3 linked regions of the Astyanax mexicanus genome follow. The protein of the gene in region 2 interacts with the protein of the main gene of each other region in a biochemical or structural test. Links are inferred from orthologs where the notes say so. Each region holds a gene or a part of one and is shown on either strand. Other genes may lie near its edges. The genes, in order: rad51, rpa1 and rfwd3.

Evidence for each region.
Region 1: the proteins of rpa1 (region 2) and rad51 form a complex in vitro, tested with the Homo sapiens proteins (2 studies listed by BioGRID). The link is inferred for Astyanax mexicanus from reciprocal best matches to the Homo sapiens genes RPA1 and RAD51.
Region 3: the proteins of rpa1 (region 2) and rfwd3 form a complex in vitro, tested with the Homo sapiens proteins (3 studies listed by BioGRID, with this or other methods). The link is inferred for Astyanax mexicanus from reciprocal best matches to the Homo sapiens genes RPA1 and RFWD3.

The regions. Positions count from the first base shown.
Region 1 is NC_064408.1:39,934,668-39,941,671, forward strand, and holds the start of rad51 (DNA repair protein RAD51 homolog 1), read right to left. Parts: upstream 3,050-7,004; 5' UTR 2,965-3,049; intron 2,959-2,964; exon of another isoform or gene 2,931-2,958; intron 2,763-2,930; exon of another isoform or gene 2,460-2,762; intron 1,712-2,459; 5' UTR 1,702-1,711; coding exon 1,612-1,701; intron 1,103-1,611; coding exon 965-1,102; intron 666-964; coding exon 548-665; intron 229-547; coding exon 42-228; intron 1-41. Other genes in the region: adgrg11 (adhesion G-protein coupled receptor G2), read right to left, coding at 5,096-5,226, 6,278-6,585.
Region 2 is NC_064425.1:14,360,175-14,368,227, forward strand, and holds the start of rpa1 (replication protein A 70 kDa DNA-binding subunit), read left to right. Parts: upstream 1-4,973; 5' UTR 4,974-5,092; coding exon 5,093-5,125; intron 5,126-6,488; coding exon 6,489-6,536; intron 6,537-6,999; coding exon 7,000-7,078; intron 7,079-8,053. Other genes in the region: serpinf2b (serpin peptidase inhibitor, clade F (alpha-2 antiplasmin, pigment epithelium derived factor), member 2b), read left to right, coding at 1-187, 1,297-1,439, 1,609-1,813, 2,372-2,715. UniProt on the Homo sapiens protein: As part of the heterotrimeric replication protein A complex (RPA/RP-A), binds and stabilizes single-stranded DNA intermediates that form during DNA replication or upon DNA stress.
Region 3 is NC_064409.1:53,683,731-53,690,757, forward strand, and holds the start of rfwd3 (E3 ubiquitin-protein ligase RFWD3), read right to left. Parts: upstream 3,074-7,027; 5' UTR 3,041-3,073; coding exon 3,017-3,040; exon of another isoform or gene 2,841-3,016; intron 1,117-2,840; coding exon 899-1,116; intron 563-898; coding exon 306-562; intron 112-305; coding exon 53-111; intron 1-52. UniProt on the Homo sapiens protein: E3 ubiquitin-protein ligase required for the repair of DNA interstrand cross-links (ICL) in response to DNA damage. Plays a key role in RPA-mediated DNA damage signaling and repair.

The sequences.
Region 1 (7,004 bases), on a different chromosome or scaffold from region 2:
TATCTAGATATTTTTTCTGCACAATGCTACACTGTTCTCACCTCTCAGCAACAGCCAGAAGTCTCTCTGGACGGAACGTGCCCTCGGTGTCGATGTACATGGCTTTGCCTTCCCCTCCTCCCTGATCGATAGGCAGCTGACATGTGACTGCTAACGTGTGACAAAGCTGAGTCTTTCCTGTACGAAATTCCCCAAACATCTCTGTGATGGAACCTGTCTCAATACCACCTATAGACAGGGAAAACAAGAGAAAGCAAGAAAGTGGCTCTATTAACAAAATACATGTTGGCTACATACAAATGCAACAGACATCACAGTGGTGAGTGGCTGGAGCATTTTTGTGCAAAAGCGTAGTAACATGAAGTAATGAAAAAGGTTTCATTTTATATGTATGCATTTCATCTTAAATTGTGCTCTGCTGTTTTTACTTACTTTTTCTGCCCATTTAATTTGTGATTTATGTAAAGAACCTTGAATTGTGTACTAAAAAAACATTTCAATGTTGTTTTATAAGCTACATTACAACTGAGGTCAAACAATTCCTCACCCTGCAGAAGCTTGTCCAGCTCTTTGGAACCAGTGGAAATCTGAATGATCTCAGCTCTCCGCTGGTGAAATTCTGTTGCTGTTGTGAAGCCCATTGGAACCAGTTTAGCAGCCTCTGCCTGCAGGAAACAATAAAAACATAAATTTAAGGATTTAAATATCAAGGAGATTTTATTGTCATTTCACATCACATGTGGTACATGAGGTGGAACAAATTTGTATTCCCACGGTCCAGTTTACACTCAAAGAGCAATTGTTTAAAATAGAAGAATAAAAAGACAAAGTAAAAAGTATAATCGTAAAATAATAAAATAGAGAAGAAAAATACACAATATATAAAGACGTAGAGAAGTAGCAGCAACACGAGTTCCAAGTTGCTATAGCAAAATGGATGATTATTAAGAAGTGCTGAGCTCACCAAAATCTTGTCAGCTTTGGCCTCACTGATGCCCTTAATGTTGATCAGTTCTTTTTTGGGGGCATATGCTACAGCCTCGATGGTGTGAAATCCCGCATCTTCCAGCTTTTTCAGGTCACTGGCACTGATACCACATTGCTGCAGAACACAGAAACAAGCACTTCATGAACAGAAAGGACTATCGACAGCTTTGTGACACCTATATGTTACAAACAGATCCAACAAGCAAAATTTCACACTCTCTCCATGGGAAGGTAGTATTGCACTAGTAAGAGACTGTTGCACATCTGTTGACAGACTTTATGTAGTGATTCTCTAGTCATTCGTCAGTGATCAGTTCTGACCACAGAGCAGGTTTCAGCTCTTGCCCAAAACTAAAACACACCCATTTCAACCAATTAATGAATTTTGAGATCAATGATTAGTTTGAGCAAAAGTCTGCATAAAAGTAGCTCTCCAAAAGGACAGGCCAGATTGAAGACCACATATTTATTTAGCAGGTGTTTCTGATAAATCGACCAAAGAATAAAGACTCAATTAAAATGTAACAGCTTATGAGAAATCACTGCACTTCACTCTTGCATCTGGCTCTTTAAAAGAAAAGAGGCATTGCTCATGGCTGAATCGCTAGTTGTGTTAAATCATACCTCCAGGCGGTTCAGCGGCTGTGGTCCAAAACTATCCTCTTCTTCAACTTCTGCCTCCACCTCCACTCTGCTTTCACTTCTCATAGCCATCTTCAATTACCTGGACCATATTTACAGACATACAAGCACAAATCAAAGCTAAAACACTAATACTGGGGGTACCATCAACAAATATTTTTTTTTATTTAATTAAAGAATTTAATTTAAAAATGTTACAACTAGTCTGCTCTGTTACACACTACACAAGCTCAATATTATTTATTTTAATAATATCGTAATAAATATTGTATTTTGGTAAAAAGTCGTGATATCCTAAAAAACAAAAGCTGGAAGGTTAGTCACATTCATTTGATTAATTGGATTCTTGTTACATTGCATTTATTTTCAAAATGGGACATGTTTACGTACAGAACCTGCCAGAGGGAATCTCACTAGATAGATTTGTTTTTCGGTCAAAAAGAAACTGTAAAAAAACTCTAACTCTAATGTAACAGTATTTTTAAAGGGAGCTGCTTCATAATCTTATAAGAATGAATGGTTATAATTATGACTTAGATTGAGAGAGAGAGAGAGAAATATATAATTGGTCACAATATCTCCCAGCTCTAGTTACACAATATGTTTACCATATCTGGCACAGCTAACCTAGCTAGCGTTAGCTAACCCATAGAAATGGAATTTATCCACTTGAACATTTGACAACTTTTCTGCCCTGTTTGCCCGCTGTGAGAACATTAAGATAAATTTAAAACTAGCAGAAACTAAGAATAAATCGGTGTTAAAACCAAACACGAGAAAAACAAAGAGAAAACAGTAAAGAGAAAATCACTAATCGTGAACAATCGTACCTAGTTCACCTAACTTAGCTAATCTATAGCTATAGCTAGCGTTAGCTTAGCTACAACAACAGGGCGGTAGTAGCTTTCGCTAGATTTAATTTACAAAGCCAGGAGAGCTTAGTTAAGTTAGCCAAAACCAAAATGACCCGAGACGAGTGTGGTCGAGTGTGTTGCTCTGCTCTGGTGTGCTGCAGTGTTTCTGACCGCAGAGCGTCCAGATAACCCCGCGCTCCTGTTATTGAGTTAACTCAGCTGTATCTGGATCAGTTCAGCTAGCCTGCACTGAATCAGAGCGGCAGCGGCAGCAGCAACAGTAACAGTAACAGTAACAGCTAACGCGCCTCTCCTCTTCTAACACGTTAATGCAGCTGAATCCGCTGAGACCCGCCCCGGACCGGCGCTGTCAGAGGTCGCCTACTGTTGCTGTTTCTGGGGCTGTATTGATATATCATTAATAACTGAATAAATAAACTGAATTACAGATAAATAAACAGAAGTAGAGGAGCTCTCTCACCGACTGGCCTCACAACCGAGTTTCCCGCGCCTGCGTCACCGGTCACGTGACACCGAGCGACGTCACAGCGGGCGTGTTTTTTATCTTTTTGCCAAAAAAATATTATTTCTATAAAAAAAATGCACCCACGTCAGTGTAACCTTTAGCAGTTTAATTGCCTAACTATAGCTGAATTTATAATGAAGAATAAATTGGGTTTCACCCAATTTTCCAATTATCAAGTTTTTAATTTCAGCATTTTGCAAACAGAATTTCAAGAAAAATTAAAAGTTGAAGGTCAATGTAACGTTTATTAATTAAATTTTCTGACCATTTGAGGCTAAATGCAAAAATTGGATGTAAAAATTCATTATTTTTTTATGTTGTTTAATTTTTAATGTAGTGCATTGTACAAGAAAAGGTTTTAATATTTTTTTCCAATTTTAGTTTTTTCATCTCTGCCCTTCACAATCGTAATTTTAGGAAAAAAATTAAATATGAATATTTTATTTTCAGATTTTTTAATTTTGCAAGTTGGATTATACCATCAGATTTGTGTTAAAAGATACAAAAATGGACAAATCTGGAAATCAAGAGATTCAACTTTTAATTGTTCTTGAAATTCCGTTTGCAAAAGGCTGAAATGAAAAAAAAATTGAATGAAAACACATTCTTCTTTATTTCGAATTTAGTTTGATACAGTCATACTTTCATTTTTCAGATTTGTCAATTTTTGTAACTTGTAAACACAAATCTGATGTTATACTCCAACTTAAAATGCAAAAATTGAAAAACCAGAAAATAAAGAAAATATTTTTTTTTTCATTAACGAGCCTTGGGATCTCTTTCCCACGCCTTTATTTTTTTTTTTTTTTTACATAATGTCACCTTAGGGGCTCCGTACGCTTGTGAGGGGCAGAGATGGAAAAAAGTAGATTGGAAAATGGATGAAAACGTATTTCTTGTACACTGCACTACATAAAAAAATAGTTTTTACATTCAGTTTTCTATCTTTGCATTTGTTCTCTAACAGTCAGAAAATGTCATTAATAAACGTTTCACTGAGCACCCACACCTGGCAAAAATGCTTTAATCGCTGCGTCCTATGATAAATATCTCGAGTCGTTCCAGTCATGATCGCTAGGTCTGAAGAGGAGTATAACCGTCTGTTTCCAGGAGGTGGCGCCAGCAGCACCCTGTCCTCTGGCTGTGCCAAAGCAGCTGGTATTTACCACAGACTCGCTCTGGAGGCTCTAAATTTAGTTATAGCAGAGATTTTGCATTGAAAGGAAAATGTAATATGTGTCTAGGCTTAATCTCTGTCTGGGAAACTGACCCATAGTGTAGAGTGGACTGTGTTGGTGGAGTTGTGGTGCAGTAATCTGACTTTATGCCAGTGCCAGTATAAAGCATTTTATTTAATATTTAAACTCAAAATAAAAAAAAATAATAGTTAATTACTAGCACTTAAAGTTACAGCAAGACTAGAGACAATTCATATTCACATAACAGACATTACAACATTAACAGAACAGAAACATTACATCACAAAGTATATTATTTATACATTAATAATCATTTTCTGCTGCATATTTACATCACTGTACTCAATAAGAATTAAACATGCAAAACCTTTTTAATGTAAATCACACATAATTTATATCATGTAGATTTTGTGTAAAAGCAATGCATCTGAGCTTTATGTACAAAACCCCTTACACAGCCAGTCACACATTTCTTTAGATTTAAATATTCACCCATTTTGGTAAAGGTAAGGGGTCTATAAGGAACTCTGACAATAATGACTCAATAATGTTTTGGGTGTGCAAATGATTTTTCTAAACTATGTAAACTGTACAGGGTTCATTACATAACATCTGTGCTTTTACACTGCATGTCCTCTACACTACTTGACTTGACTGAACTCTACCCATTCCGACTCTATTCGACATCATTAAAATGTTTCTGATTTTTGTTGTACTCTGAGACCCCCTTTTAAACTCCATTGTATATAGTCATAAAAATAAAATTTCTTACTGATCAAAGATAAACATGTCAAATATTCATGTTACGCATATTATATACATAATAAAAACAAAGAACTAGAGATAGTACCTAATACAGAAAAAACAACAGATTTAAAACATTTTTTCTAAAAGTTTTTCTGCTTCTCGTAGGGGTTTTCCATCTGCGTGGCCTCTGTGGTGTTGCTGGTTTCGGCTGAGATGGTTGAATCCCCAATGAACTTGCTGGTTTTGTAATAATAAATGAACAGGAAGAATCCTGAGGAGAGACATGAAAAGTTCCTAAATAAGCAAATAATCAAGTAATCACTTAATTGTATTTTTTTTATATGTGTGCCTTGGACAAATATTTTTGAAACTGAGAGGAAGTAAACTTCTCAAACTAAAAATGTATCTAAATCTCAGTCTGTTTCTCAGTCTTTATTAACATAATATAAATCATCAGCGTTACCTGTACAAACACATAGGTGTGATTTGAATCAGTATCCTGTTTGATTTATTTGATGTATGCATCCAGGATTTACTGGTATTTTGTTTAATTCAATCTACTTTCCATATGTGCAGTGTCAGTGCTATGATGGCAACATCTAAATATAATGGGCCCTATTTTCACCTATCTATAGGTGAAGCGTCAAACACGCACCATGCAGCTTGATTTAGTGTAGATTTGGTGTAGATATATTCACAATCACTGTTGCTATATAAATGATGCAGGCAGAAGGCGTGAAAATAGACTGTCGATGGGGTTAATTATGTGTAAGATAGCAATGAGCATCATAACGCACCTTGTGTAGGGTCCAAACAGGCCCAAATAGTTGTGTCAGGAGCATAGACTCATGTCTCATTTTTTACCTGACTTTGTGTAATCTAGTATTGTATAATGGTCAGAGACTCTAAACTGGTCCCCTTAATATCCAACGAAAGCCGAGCACAAAAAGTAAACACAGGAACTAGTTTTCTTTTTGTGCTCAAATGAATTCAAACTGCCACCACATGAAGATGAAGTTTACTTCTTATGTTCTAATGTTTTGGGGCATTTGTTTCAGTTCAGGAGCAGGTTGGAGTTGTAAAGCGTACCTAGTTTTTTTTTTATGTGACAGACATTTTCTATTTCCCCCCAAAAAATCAGAAAACTGTGAGAATCAGGCTCAGTCTTTTATAATCTGTAAAAACAGTTGTTCAAAATGTTGTGTAGTGTGCACAAGTCTCAATAATATCTGGCATTGCAGATACTTTTAGAACATGGCTGTTTCAAAAGCAGTGTTAGTATTGTAAAACTGATTGATACGCTCTTTGCTTTCATGACTTACCTTGGAAGGAATTGAGAATTGTGAAGATGTAGTACGATGGGAGGCGCAGGGCACCATAGGCGAAGAAGGCGAAGCCCCAAGTGACTCCAAGAGTGAAGCACAGGCCCATTATGGTCAGGATGTCCGAGGTGCCTGTCCCTGTGCGCTTACCCGAGCCAGAGGCTGCCTTTTTGTGGCCTGCTGTGGTTCTTTTGAGGAGGACGATCCACCGCAACATGACCACAAAGGTCGTGAAGGTGAAGGCGAAGATTACAGAGTAGTAGCCGATGTTCACAACGTAATGGACAGAAGAGTCTATGATCCAACACCTTTAGAGCAGAAGGCAAAGTTAAGATCAAAAGAGTCATATGGAAACTTCTGACTTACTACTGGCACCCACCCACTATCAGGGCCTAGCTCGAAATCGAATCATGTATTTATTGCCTTGCTATAAGCATGCAGGCAACCTTAATCACAAAATAGCACCTTAATGATCAATTTACAAATTACTGCCATCCCAAGTCTTTTTGTGCCAATAAATATATTCTGACTAACAACTGAGCCGAATTTACTTTTGTCTGTAAATTAACCAGGAAACTCAAAAGGACTCCAAGGAAACACTTTTTTTTTTTTACAAATTAAACTTAAATTTAGGGCCAATATGTTAGCTAACTAAAATAGAAAAATGTAAATTACTTTCCTTTATCATGTTACAGTAGGAACCCCTAAATTTAAAATCTCTCTGACA
Region 2 (8,053 bases):
TTTCAGCCGAAACAGGAATTCATGCAAGAGTCTCTGAAAATATATAATTCAGAGCCGGCAGCCTTGACAGAGCTGGAGGAGATCAATGAGTGGGTAGAGAAGTCAACAAATGGCCAAGTCACAGACTTCCTCTCCAGTCTTCCCTCTAACCTTGTCATGATGCTTATCAACGCTGTGCACTATAAAGGTAAATGACATACGCACAGTCTTTTATAAGAGGACACACCACAGCAGTGAAAAGTGTAAACAGAGATACCCCGTATGGGCAAATGTACTGGGGCACCTGCTGATTTGTTGCTTCTTCCGGAATCAAGAGTGTCCTGCTTTTGTTGGTAAAACTATAAATTACTACTGTTTAGAAAAGGCTACTAGATTTTGGAGTATTTCTGGATTTGATTGCATTCAACCCACCTCATCCCAACCACATAGGCAACTGATCCCCAACTTTTGCCAAATTTACAGAATGGAGCACCATAATTTTAGGGAATGCAGTTCCACTGCTCCACAGCTCAGTGCTGAAGGGCTTTATATTTATGGAGCCTACACCTGGCTATTTTGGTTCATGTTAATCTGCTCCAGAGAATCCTATTTTATTGGCAGAATCCTATTCTATTGTCAGCTGAATGCATTCATTAGAAAGGGTGTTCACGAACATATGAACATGTAGTGTAGCTTTGGAAACTCATTACATAAGGCTAATATTATTAATGTTGTGTTACAACAGTTCATGTATTGTGTTTACAAAGTACTTAGACCCCTTCACTTTTTCCCCATTTTGAAATTAAATAACTAATAAATAAAACAGGGATGTCAAGTCATGTAGGCGCCAAATCATTAAGGTTCTGGGCCCTACTGAAGGGCCCTTAATACCAGTGTGTTAAATTTGAGTTGGATCTTAACTTTGAAGGGAACTATATATAACCAGAACCAGGATTTGGTATCCTTGCATTATAACCATACTCTAATACATTTACATTGGGAGTAACTCCCATCTGGCCAATCTACCACAAAGACTTGATCTGTGTGCCCCTTGGGATCAAAATGTAAAAGTTTTTCTAGAAAGTTTTATCTCCAATTATCTTTGTTTCTTGCTAGTTTTGATATTTGAAGATTAGTAACCTATAGAGAGAATAAATCATTTTGGAATTTTTATAGTGTTACCTTGTGAATGGTAATCATTAAAAAATGAGGTAGCTGTCTAACAAAAAAACATTCTTACGTGTTTGTATTTGTTAAGAAAGGTCCAGCTCACCTAATTTAATAAGTTTGTATTCAGTGTTTTTTCTTTTCCTTCAGGCGAGTGGGAGAAGCGCTTTGACCCTCGATTTACCACAAGTGAACCGTTCTACATTGATGAAAACCTGGCAGTCAATGTGGACATGATGCTTGGGCCAAAATACCCCCTCAGTATTTTTAATCATAATGAACTTGATGCCCAGGTACCTTTTATAATCATGTTTCTCTCTCTATCTCTCTCTCTCTTCTCTCTGCATATGTGTATATATACACATACATAGAAAACACAACATCTACATATATAGTTCTGTTTACTGTCATGCTACAAATGACATTATTGGTGTAAACAGAACTGTGTCTTGTCTTTTGCAGGTCGCTCGTTTTCCATTCAAAGGGAATATGAGCCTGATAATTGTAATGCCTGTGAGTGGAAATGTCAATGTGACGACCATTGCGGCCAAACTCAACATCTCAGACCTATATAGCCGCTTTCCCCGAGAGAGAAACATGCAAGTCAAACTCCCCAAATTCAAACTAGATTTCACTCAGGAACTTGATGAGGCACTTACAAGCATGGGTAAGAAATCATTCTGGATTTATCAAAGAAACAGATTTAGATTTTAATACCATTTTTGTTTAATTCAACCCTTTTTTTATTTATACAAATTTTTGTTTAAATACAGGGTTATTACACCAAATATTGATGTCTTAATATGAACTTTATGAAGTTTTATTTGCATTATTTGAGGTCTGAAAAATTTATTTTTTCTGCAAATAAATGCTCTAAATGACAATATTTTTATTTGTAATTTGGAAAAACTTTTGTCTGTAGTTTATAGAATAAAACAACAATGTTCATTTTACTCAAAAATATACCGATAAATAGCAACATCAGATATTTTTTTTCCAGAGCTGTGAATTTGGAAGTATTGCAGCAAAATGTTGCCATGTGTTTTTTAAGTATATTAAATATATTTAAGTATATTCCCCCAAAAGACAGTAAAGTTGATCTTATCCAAGGTAGTGGAAGCCTGTCTCACTCAAACAATTCTTTAAATATTTGTAGCTCCAGTGCAAATCTTACCTGCCCTGGCTGATCAGCTTTACATGTGATAATTGCTCTGTTTTTACACAGGTCTAGGGGAACTGTTCACAAGTCCCAACCTGGCTGGTATAGCAGATGGCCCCCTTGTGGTATCCAGCGTGCAGCACAAGTCCAGCATGGAGATAAATGAAGAGGGTGCAGAAGCTGCTGCTGCGACCAGTGTAGTCATCTCCCGCTCCAACCCCTCCTTTACAGTTAACCAGCCGTTTTTCTTCGCCCTCATGGATGATTCTTCTCAAACGCCACTTTTTCTGGGGGTGATTTCCAACCCAAACCCCAGCGAAGCTGCTGTGATATCAAACCCAAGTGATGTAGAAAAGGCCGGCTTGCTTGACAAGGATGCTGCACCATCTTCTGTCCATCCACCCAAGTGAAGGTCCTTCAGCAGAGTGAGGCTACAACTAATTTTGAGCTGCATGGGGCCGCAACAAAAAGGCAAATCAAGACTTTCAACAATGGGAATTATATGCTATAAAGCATGTTCAATGGACAGGAGTCAAATATGCAGAAACATATTGGAAATTTTGGAATGATACTTCTCACCATCAAGGCAAATTACCTTTCATCTTATGATAAAGCTCATATCACCAGCAGTCAACTGCATTGTTTTAAAAGCCTAATGTTTCATGATTAAAGAAAAGGGTTTTAAAGAATTAAGCGTTTCTTGCTGTATTTTTACAAAGTTGCAGGGCCAATAAGCTATACTTTAGTATCTTGCTTAAAACTTTTAGACTATAGACACAAGAAACTCACCTACAATTGAAGTTTGGATCGAATTTGCAAAACTCTGATCAGGTATCATGCATTTTCTTGCTGTCCACGTGATCAAAAATCTGTCTGCATACAATCTAGATATGCCAAAAACTGTATTTGGACTGGCAATCTGATTCTAGCCAATTAGCTTTAGGTTTTATACCAGTTTACACGCCTAGTGTACACTTTATTGTACAGTGTGATATAAAGGTGGTATTCATTTAGACATTTAGATCAAACATCACATGTTTCAGGCTTATACTTTTAGTAAAAATCTGTTTTACAGTCCTAATATTAGCAGTTGCTTTTGATTTCTAAATAAAGTTCACCTGAGTAGACATTTTTTTGTTTCATTTCTGCAATAAGTAATGCAGTGCAATTAATATAAAACAACAGTTTGTGCCATGGTAATTGAGATATTATTCTTTGATTGTGGTGGTTTGTGGTTCATATTTTTTTTATTTTTCCAACAAACTATTGTTTTTACAAATCATATACAGACATCCCACCCTGAAAAAACTAATTTCAGGGGGGGAGGGGGGGGGGTGTAGGTCCTTCAAATCTGTACTTAAAATATAAAATATAACATAATTTCAATGAAGTGCACAGAGTACAGTATCTCCTTAACACTTAGCCAGCTAGTTGTTAAACGAGTTAATGAACGAGTAAATTAAAAATGTAGGAGACTCCCTGAACTTCCGCGACAGGTGGGAACTTTTCTTATAGTGTACCTACAACAACTAAATTTGCTGTTACTGAGCCCAGAGAGTATCATGGTAAAACAATTCTATTGTTACAAATAAAAAAATGATAGATGCTGAAAAATGTTGCCTTACTTTTTTATAAATTGTTTCCTCAATCTTCAAAAAAGTTTTCTTAATTGAAATAATTGTTCTGTCTGTTTAACTAAAGCGTATGAAGCATATGATGGCGTAAAAAAATAAAGAGTTGATTTCGAGAATAAAGTCATAATATTTTAAGATTAAAGTTGTATTGCAATCAGGAAAGTTGCATTATTATGATCGAAGAGTTTGCAAATCGATATAGTAATCTCCTCGTGTTAAAATAAATTACTTTATCCTCAATAGTTTATTCTCAAAATATTTTTTTAAAATCTCGAAATATTATGAGTTTAATCACGAAATATTACAAGTTTATTCTAGAAATATTCTGAATTTATTTGAAATATTACAACTTTATCTGCAAAATGTTACAAGTTTATTCTAAATATTACGAGTTTATTTTTTTAAATAATAAGTTTATTGTAGAAGTATGAGTTTATTTTCAAAATATAAGCTTATTCGTATATTACTACTTTATTTGCAAAATATTGAGTTTATTTTTTAAATATAAGTTTATTCTTGAAATATTATGTGTTCATTTTCAAAATAGTACGCCTTTATTCTCTTAATATTACTACTTTAAGTGCAAAATATTACAAACTTATTTTTTGAAAAATAAGTTTATTCTAGAAGTATGAATTTTACTACTTTATTTGCGAAATATTGCGACTTTATTTGCGAAATGTTGCAAGTTTATTCTTGTAATATTATTAATATTTTTGAAGTCCGTTTTTTTTATTATTTTAAGAGTGGCTTTAAAACGCTGTCGTAAAAGGCTTCCTTTAAAGTGAGTAAAAAATAATAATAAAAAAGGACGAATGGTTTAATTTTTATTAGCTATTATTTTTATGATGTAAATATATTTATTTATTTTAGAATAAAAGTCCTAAGCATTTTAGCTAACCCTAAAATACCCTAAATAAGAGAGAAACTATATAGTTATATGTGTTAAAAACTCTGTATACATGCTAGTCTCTGTAGTCACTGGGGGGGAAAAGACCTCCTCCTTCGACCCTTCAGCGGAAGTGATGCAAGAAGCCGGAGCGCGCGCTTACACTGAAAGTTGGCGCCACGACTCAGAACAACAACACGGAGCGGGAGCGGAGCGGCTGAGAATTTATATTAAACCCCGATATTTCTCCTCCAGCTCGCAGCCATGACTGTTACACTGTCAGAAGGAGCTATAGAGGTGTGTACCGGGTAAACGAGAGGGGTAAAAGCGTAGTGTGAGAGCTGTTAAATAAGAAGGCCGAGAGCAGCGCAGAGTCAGCCTGGCTAAATAACTAACGCTAAGTAGTTCTAGCAGCTCAGTAACGGCAACTGGAGCTAAAGCTAAAGCTAACAGGCGACCTAACTTAGTGATTTAGAGAAATCTGTGTCTCAGTAAAGTAGAGAATGCTGAAAAAAATCTGCTCTAAAGAGTACATGTTATGATGGGATATGTAGAAAAATCTTTCCGTACGCCAACGATTTTTATTTGGATTGTCTATTCCACCTTAAACGGTGTCCAGGCGCTGCACAGTTTAAGGTGGAACGGTTCTGTTGTCATTCAAACGGCGTGGCCTTTTCGGTTAAATCACCGTTTTCCCTTCGTAAATACAATTAAGCTAGTTTAGCTAATCCAAACTTTTAACTATTCAATTATTCAGATCTAGGAGGCGCGTGTGCGCTGGGAAATCACCGAACTGCAAACCTGTCGTCCTAAAGAAAAAGGGGTTCTAATGCTGTCCATACACTAAGTTACACGACGTTGAAAAAAAAACTCTTAAAAAAAAAAAAGACTTTTAACAGACTAAAATCTGACACCCTCTCACATCTAAAGACAAGACGTTTTAATTACAGGCTCAGATTATTATCTGAGAATATTTCCCATCATGCTTCTGGTGGAGTTTACATACAATACTTGTGACATTAAGCTACACATAATGTGTAAGTTAAATCAGTACTCTGATTTGTCATCTCGTGATTTTATTTCGACTCTGGAAATGTGTCTGCGACATTGAAATCACTTGAAAATCGTTAGGTGTAAGGTCAACATAAGAAGAAAATGCTTTTCTCTGAACGTGAACTCGTGGTTTCTCCCTGTTATTGTAATGTGTGACTTATAGTTGTTGTTTATTTGTCTGTGTAAGAAAAATATTGGTTTTCTGATCATAACAAAGTTCTTATTATTTCCAACAAAGATTTATTTGCAGCCGTGAACGTGTAGATTTTGCAACACTTAGATTTTTTCACCCCTTAAAAAAAAAAAAACTTGTTCCATCAAATGTTTTAAATGTACTTTTTAGCATCTTATGTGCAATTACTATTTCGCACCAAAAACCTATAGACTGTCACTAAGTTAAATCAATCTGGACAAACTCCATAGAATGCCTTAGAAATATTTTCTTTGGGTGGACTTCTTTGTATTTTAGATGTTTTTTTAATGGATTTTAAAAACTGTCAGTTGAAGGAAACTCAGCTCAGAAAGACAATTTTTTAGAAATTTCATTAGACTTTATTTTGTGTATTTGTATGTATTTTTCTTAACTGTGTGTGTTCTATCATTTCAGCTCCTGATCAAAGGTAGTGAGGTTTCAAACCCAGTGCTTCAATGTGTTGTAAGTTCTTCTGTCAGTTGCATGTTTTTTTTCTGCTGGTGTTTTTTTTTTTTTTTACGAGAGTGTTAGATGTTTTCACTTGTTACTTCTCTTGATTTTAAGGAAAAATTATGGCCTGTCAATCTTATTGTAAGCCAAGTTTGTTTTACTGAAAAAATATAATAGAATGCAGTAGCGTTCTTTTACAGACCATCAGCATTTAAATATAACATTTATAAAACAAAATAAAACTGATGATGTGACAGGCATAAATCATTCTCAGATGACATCAAAACAGGTTTAGTAGGTATCCAAATATAAATGTTTTTGGCTTATGAAAGGATTCAATATAAACCTGTTTTATCATTAGTTAAATATTAAATTTAGCCTGCACAAATATGAGAAATGAATCAAATTTTAGAGCTTTTTTGGTTTGCAGCCTTATTCTCATGTATGTGAAATAAAAATTGTTTTTTCTCTGCAGAATATCCGAAAGATTGATGGAGGCAGTGGACCAGTCCGCTTTCGCCTCATGATGAGTGATGGCCTTCATACTATGTCCTGTAAGTGTGTGTTTGTGTGTTGGAGGGGATCTATTTAACCTTATACATGAAACCAAAGCATATGTATATAGATTTTTGCTTCCTCATTTGGATCTAAAGTTCTAGGTAAAGGTATCATATTGTATCTTAATGGCATCTCTCTGAAGAACTCTGTTTTCCTTAGAGCTTGCATAGTTTATCCAGTAATTCACTAAACTGTTACATAATAAAGTGCTGTGATTTTTATATCCATTGCTTATGCTTCTCATATCTGAATTTAATTGGTGTTTGTTGAGTATCCTTGTGAGTATCTCTGGGTATTTTCAAAACATAATGAGCCTAACATTGAAGAGGTACTTCACCATCAAAACAATTTTCTTGACTGCCTGAGTTTTTAAAATGACTCAGTGGCTGTTTCAATCATGACAATTAAATGAAAATGTTGTCTTACAATTGCACTATATAATGTTTAGAATAAATGTAAATAAGGATACAAAAACAGATCATATATTTCAAACAGTTATTGGTATGCTGGTTAGATTAATACAACTTAAGTTTGGTGCTCAACTGACTTCTCTGTGAACACCCTGACACTGTATGGATTTGTTGACTTCCTCCGCTTGCAAGTTAAACCCCTTTGACAAATGGAAGAAATGGTTGATATATGGTTATTCATTGAAGAGGGTATTTTTTTTTCTTGAAAAATAGACATGGGTATTTTTAAAAACTCGTATTACCCTTCTTCCATTAAAAAAAACAAAACATTTTTGTCCACACAGAGACTAATATGCTTGCATTAGCATACTAGATCTGTATGAGGTAATAGAAACTCAAGTAAGATATCAAAGCACTGCAGAGAAAATTACTCCCTAGGCAGTGTATGACAATACAGTCACAAAATTACTTGGCACTAGAATGGCGTATCATAGGTGATATCGCCAACATTTTTGAATATCGTAAACTATATTATATCCTGAAATATGGTGCCATATCATC
Region 3 (7,027 bases), on a different chromosome or scaffold from region 2:
GTAACTGTGAAATTGGCAGAAAAACAAACAAACTAAAGTAAAAAAATCAAACCTTGGGTTCAGACTGAACTGGGGCTTCTGTCCTCTCAACATCAGCAGAAACAACAGGACCTGTGTAAAGGCAAGGACATAATGGACACTCTGTTTAAACTATGCAACACAACAAGATAAGACCACTATTTAAAGCTACATTATGGAGAATTGTTATTTTATAGTACACTTAACAGCATTTTAAACCAGAAGTATTTCTAAAGTCTCTTTAAATTCTCCACTTACATTCTCTGAATATCAATGTGAAAATTTACCTGTTGCACTGGGTTCCTGAAGTAGAGGAGCCACCACTGGAGCCTGCTGGCTGGAGTTAGACACAGGGGCAGGTTCTGAAGACTGTCCAGAATTTGCGCTCTGTCCATTTTGTCCTTCTTCCTCAGAGTCACTCACCTCCTCTGTGCTGCCTGAGATTGGTTCTGTGTCACTCCCTGCTGAAACCCTGAGCAAGAAGTCTAAAGGGCCTCTGTTTAGAAGTGTAGTCTGAGTCGAGTACTGGAACCGCAATCCTGGCCTGTGAAGCAAGTTGAAGTGCATGTTTAAGCATAATTATAACACACATCTTCATGCAGGGCTTGTACTTAATATATACACATGTATAGTATGTAATGTACAGTAACCCTAGCACTGAATAGCATATTTGAAGTTATTCTGCTTTAAAACCACTGATACTCTACTAATCCATTAAATTAACTAACTTTAGGATGTGAAAACTCCAGAAACTCAGTTTGGAACCACTGACCAAGATCTAAAAGTACATTAGCAGCAGATTTGAACATTTAAAAAATTATGTACAGCTGATTGCAAAGGCGCCAACCAACAGGCTTACTTGTGTATTTATTCATCATACCTAGCTCTCCGTCTTCTCCTGACAGCCTGAGTTGATGCAAGTCGTGGCCTCTCTATTGGGACAGTGCTTCTTCCTTCAAGCTGTCTATCACCATCTTCATCCTCCTCTACTTCTGTGCTGCTCCCAGAGTCAGGAATGACTATCGGCACCTCCACCCCTACAGAACTAACAGCTGCCCCTGCTGCTCCTAACTGCACATCCACCTCCATGTCTTCCATCTGGAAAGCACAAAAAAAAGTGTTAGTATGTTACGCTGAATTACTCTGTTTTATTATAGGCACAGAGTCCAGAGTGAACAAACCTTCTATTATTGACCTTGGCAAGTGACACCACAATTTGTGCTACAAAAAGCTTTAGAGTGGACAGTGAGACAAAGGCCAATCCCATTTCCCCTCTTGGCCCTACCACTTAGTTCTACCCCTCTGTTTAAACTAACATCCCTGTTCTGCCTTTAATGGTGCAACAGATTTCACCCCTTTCTCTTGTATATCTGTTCCAAGAAAAAGGAATACACTCGAAAACAGAGGGAAGGAGTAGAAATTGGAAATAGGATTGGACAACATCTAGTGCCATCTAGTCTGTGTATTTAAAGCAGCCCTGCAGGTTTACAACGTTTGAAGCAGTACACCACTTCTCTGGTCCATAGTATAAAATCAGCCTGGTAGTTTTTGCTCCCAGCGGGTCTATGAAACAACTGGTACGGGCAACAAGGAAAGGTTGCCATCTCTTTTAAGCACCAACCTACAGGCCAGAGATGTCCAGCACCAGGCCCCATTTCCCTCCCACAGTGTGTCTTACATGAGCCTGACAGACTTCAAGCTGTCACTTAATACAGCAGAAGATTTACTACTACACCTATATAATAATTACTAAAGCTCTGATAGTGGAGCAAGTGTTAGTAGTTGCTTACTAACTAATTAGGTAGGTTAACTAGATAAGTTAGTTAAAATGTCAGAAATAAACAGTGACCCAAGATGCTATTAGCTAGCTAACTACAGCTCTGGAAAAAAAATAAGAGGACACCACTCAAATTAGTTTCTTTGATTTTACCTAGTTGAAAACCTATGGAATATAATCAAGAGGAAGATGGATGATCACAAGCCATCAAACCAAGCTGAAATGCTTACATTTATTCACCAGGAGTGGCATAAAGTTATCCAAAATGAGTGTGCAAGACTGGTGGAGAACATGCCAAGATGCATAAAAGCTGAAACCCAGGGTTATTTCACTAAATATTGATTTCTGAATTCTTAAAACTTTTTTTTTTATATGAACTTGTTTTCTTTGCACTATTTGAGGTCTGAAAGCTCTGCATCTTTTTGTTATGTCAGTCATTTCTCATCTTCTGCAAAATAAATGCTATAAATAACAAAAAAAAAAAATTGGGAATTTGGGAAAAATGTCCGTAACACAAAAACGTTCATTTAACTCAAATATATACCTATAAATTGCAAAATCAGAGAGACTGAAATGGGCACTATTTTTTTCTCAAGAGCTATATATGGACGTAACTAGCTAGATTAGCTAGCTAGCTATAATGGCTTTTAATTAATGTGCAAATGCTTTAATTTAGCTATGTAACCTCTTGGTGGGTTTACTAGATGTTCTTAAATTGAGCGAGGTGGCTAGATGGGTCTGTTAGCAAAGCTAGTTAGTGAATTTATGAGTCTGGCGCTAGGTTACATTGGTTAGCCTGCTAGCGCTAGCTAGCAAACAGATTACCATCTATCAGTCGAATACAAACATGCAGCACATTTAACCCCCCTCAGTATAAATATACACAGCTCTTTGTCGGTTTACTGCTATTAAAGCGTGGTCTGATGCATGGCGATTCGTGTTTATAAAGCACAGACTGCAAGTTAGCTTCGAAGCTAACTCGTGATGCAAACAGCTAGGTTAGCTAAACCCAGCTCACAGTACTGCGAAGCTACAAAAACATTACCTTAAAACCGCAATTCCCGTCCTCTTCCACATTAATCAACCATTATATATCTACTGACCCATACGCGCTTCGAAAAGGGGTCGAGGGTAGTTTGCTGAGAATCTCCCGAGATCAATACCTGACTCTATATAATCAGATTTACACTTCAGATCGATCTGAGCTCAAAGTCTCTCTACCATAGCTTCTGAAGTCCGCGCCATACTGTAGTTCCGCCCATTCCCACAGCTTTACACAACTACCGCCTCGACCAGGCCCTCAGCGATCCAATCAGACACCCTCATCACACAACCTGATCCGACCGCTCAGGAAAACAACGTTAAAAAAAACATATTTAACTATAGAAACAATTTTAAAAATAAAAATGAGAATAAACAGAAAATAAATGTAATGTTGATATCCCATATTTAAAAATATTTATATTATATATGACGTATTTATTTATAATTTATTTATTTTTTATTTATTTATTTATTTTAAACTTCTGTGTGTTGTTGACTACACATTGGTCTGCATTATGAATGATTCTTCCTAACTGTTTTTTATGTATTTTTTTAATAGCTTATATTATATGGTCACATATACAGCTCTAGAAAAAAATAAGAGACCACTTAATTTTCCAAGTCAGTTTCTCTGATTTTGCTATTTATAGGTATATGTTGGAGTAAAATGAACATTGTTCTTTTATTCTAGATAATACAGACAACAATTCTTCCAAATTCCAAATAAAAATATTGTCATTTAGAGCATTTATTTGTAGAAAATGAGAAATGGCTGAAATAACAAAAAAGATGCAGAGCAATAATGCAAAGAAAACAAGTTAATATAATAAGATTTCTTATAATAAGAACAATTATATACATATGACTCACAAAAAAATAATAAACACAACTGTACATACTGTTCATAACACCAAATTTGATTCTTTTTGAGTTTTTATGGGCTTTAGAGAACTATGAATATACTTAATTCCAATCATAAATGTATGCAGTATGGGTGCAGTTTTGTTAAACATACACTTGTAATAAGAGTAAACTCATATTATTGTCTATACTGGAGAAATAATAATTACATCCCAAAAGAGACAGACTAAATACAGTATTTGTAGAAAAGTAACCATTCTTTTGTCCAGTTAATATTTTCTATCACACATTTCAATGAAATGTACTTTTAGGTAAAGTAGTTCTCCTCCCTTTTATGTCATGTAGCACCAATACAGTAGCACTCTGATACATAATGTCAAGGGGGCTAAGGGAGGAGGACATGGACTGTGGTTTTGCCACCGAAGCTAAAAAAAATCTTAGTGAAAACACTGCAATAAGACTAAATTAATTATTGTCCTGTATAATTTATTTGACATTTTCACTACATTTTTCCACCAAATTAGTTTCTTTTATTTTTTTAAATTGAAAACCTCTGGAATATAATCAAGATGAAGATGGATGATCACAACCATCAAACCAAGCTGAAATGCTTACATTTTTACACCAGTAGTGGCATAAAGTTACCCAAAATTAGTGTGCAAGACTGGTGGAGGAGAACATGCCAAGATGCATGAAAACTGATTAAAACCCAGGGTTATTTCACTAAATATTGATTTCTGAACTCTTAAAACTTTTTCTGTATAATTTATTTGACATTTTCACCATTTTTTTCACTAAATAAAAAAAGTGCAGAATATTTGATAAATCTTTAGTATTTAGTCTTTAGAAGTGTTAATAAGATTATTTTTATATAAAATGTATTTGTATAGCGCTTTTTACAACTGATGTTGTTACAAAGCAGCTTAACACAAATATGATTACAGGACAAAGGATCAGGCAAAATATTAAACATAAAAAACACAGAATACAGAACACAGAACCCCAATAAGCATGGAGGCAAGGAAAAACTTCCTCAGAGCTGGAGGAGGAAGAAATCTTGGAAGGACCAAGACTCACATATAAGGGGCGATCATCCTTCCACTGGACAGAGAGCTTTTAAATGAATTTTTAAAAGTCTTTATACATCCACATAGGTCTTATATATTCAGGTGTACAGCAGCACCAGTAATGGAAGAAGTTAGAGTTCATGTAAGCTTGAATGTAATCAGTAGTGGAGAGTGAGAGGGACAATGGGCAGCTAATCTGTGGTGGATGATGGGAAAGCCTGACTTCAGAAACTTCTATCAGTCTGGCCGGGCAGGAAACATTAGAGCCTGAGGGTCCAACATCCATCGGTATTGGGTCAGACTGGTGGGCAGTCAGTAACTCAGAGGAAGGTTGAAGAAGGGAATTAGTTTTGACTGGATTTATGGAGAAAATATGAAACATTATCAGAGTGTGGCTAATGACTCTGGCAGATCTGAATAAAACAGCCTAACTAAAGGCGGAGAGTCAGAAGGTAACATAGACAGGGAGGCACCCTGAAACACCGGCATCCTCCCACTCCACTGTCCACAAACCTGAGTGACCACATGCAGTGGGCAAACAACAGCACCAGCATCTCAGTTTACCACAATTCCCTATGTCCATGAACCCCTGGATCTGCAGGCTTATCTAAAGGGGAAAAACAAATCTTTCAAGCATACTTTGTTCAGCTAGTGGGGCAAAATACTCAGAAAACATTTCAAAAAATTTAAAGAGATGGTAAATAATACAATCTGAAAATGTAAAGCATGTTTCCAAACAAATGCTGCAAAATAAAGTGTCTTAAAATAAAACATCTGTACAAAAATGATTATGGCATCATGGTGGGCCAACCATGTAAGTCTGAGTCAGCCCCTGGGGCTCCTGGGATGCTCCTTGTGTGTAATGGTTAACTGTGGACTTAAACAGACGAAGTGGTTGTGTTATGAGTGGGTCCACTTGCCAGCGGGTGCCTGAGTTGGTCTGTTGTCACTATGGCCGTGGCACACGGACCGCTAAACAAGAGGTTTAATACAGGGGGTTAGTATGAGTCTCGGGTCTTCCGCTTTATAGAACACACCTGTTTTGGAGAACAAAGTAAAAAAGAGCTACAAATAAAGACTGTTTCTCAACATGCCACTGCTACAATATAATTGATCTTTAAATATATATAAGCAAGCTTCTGTGGGGTTGGAATGAAAGTCTTGTTTAAAACAAGACAACCATATACATGATATGCTGGGCACAGGTAAAACTGGGTCTCCGCCTATAACCCATCAGTGCAGTGAATACTACAAAGTCGTATTTACATGTGAACATATTATATAGGATATAAAATGAAATACAAATTTTTTTTTATGAATAATCATTCACAATGCAGGACAATGTGTAGTTCAGCAACACTAGTTTGAATTACTTAGTTAAGTGTCTTCACGCTGTGTTTAAGCTGTGTTTAAAGGCTGTTGGTGTAGCATTTATAAGGACCCTAGCTACAAAAGGGTAAAATAACCAAATTAAACTGATCCTAAACAAAGCTCATAACACATTAATCACAGCTTTGTCACAATTTCACTCTCATTATGTATTCACAATATAGTCTTTTTGGGAAGTTCACATTACAAAAAAATGAACACAAAACAAACTAACATAGAGTTACACATAGAGTTGGGCATATGCATAAGCACACAGGCCCACTGCCCTGCTCTTTTAGTGTTTTTCCTGCATCAAACACACCCAAGTCAAATAATCAGCTAATTATTAATTCATTGTTGAATTCAGGTGGGTGTGTTAAAGGAGGAAAATCACTGAAATGTGCAGCATATTGGTCTCCAGTACCAGGATTAAGATATACTGAGCTAAAGGACGAGAAACGACGGCCTTCCTTTATTTACGTGGCCCTGTGTGACCCCCTGATTTTATGGACAGACAGAACAGTTCTACTGAAACTTTGTTACTCTCCCCACTAGATGGCCACCTAAGCCCACACACCACGAACTGTCTCCCTTTTGCAGGTAAGAAAACATGTTATATTTCAGATTTTTAGAGAAATGTATTTTCTTTACTCTTGTTTCAGACTTAACAGTTGTTTCAGTGTTATATCATATTAATGTGACCGTTTTCAATAACAGAGACGTATGTTGTACCAAACGAACCAGCTACGTTTTTTGTCCATTTATTTTATATGAAATCAACACACAATCAGCTTGATTAGCTTTTCTGGATGAAACAATTTCTTTTTCAATTTTTTTTTATTACAGATGTTTATGTATATTAATAGAGATGTTCTATGTTGAGTTTGTGTGT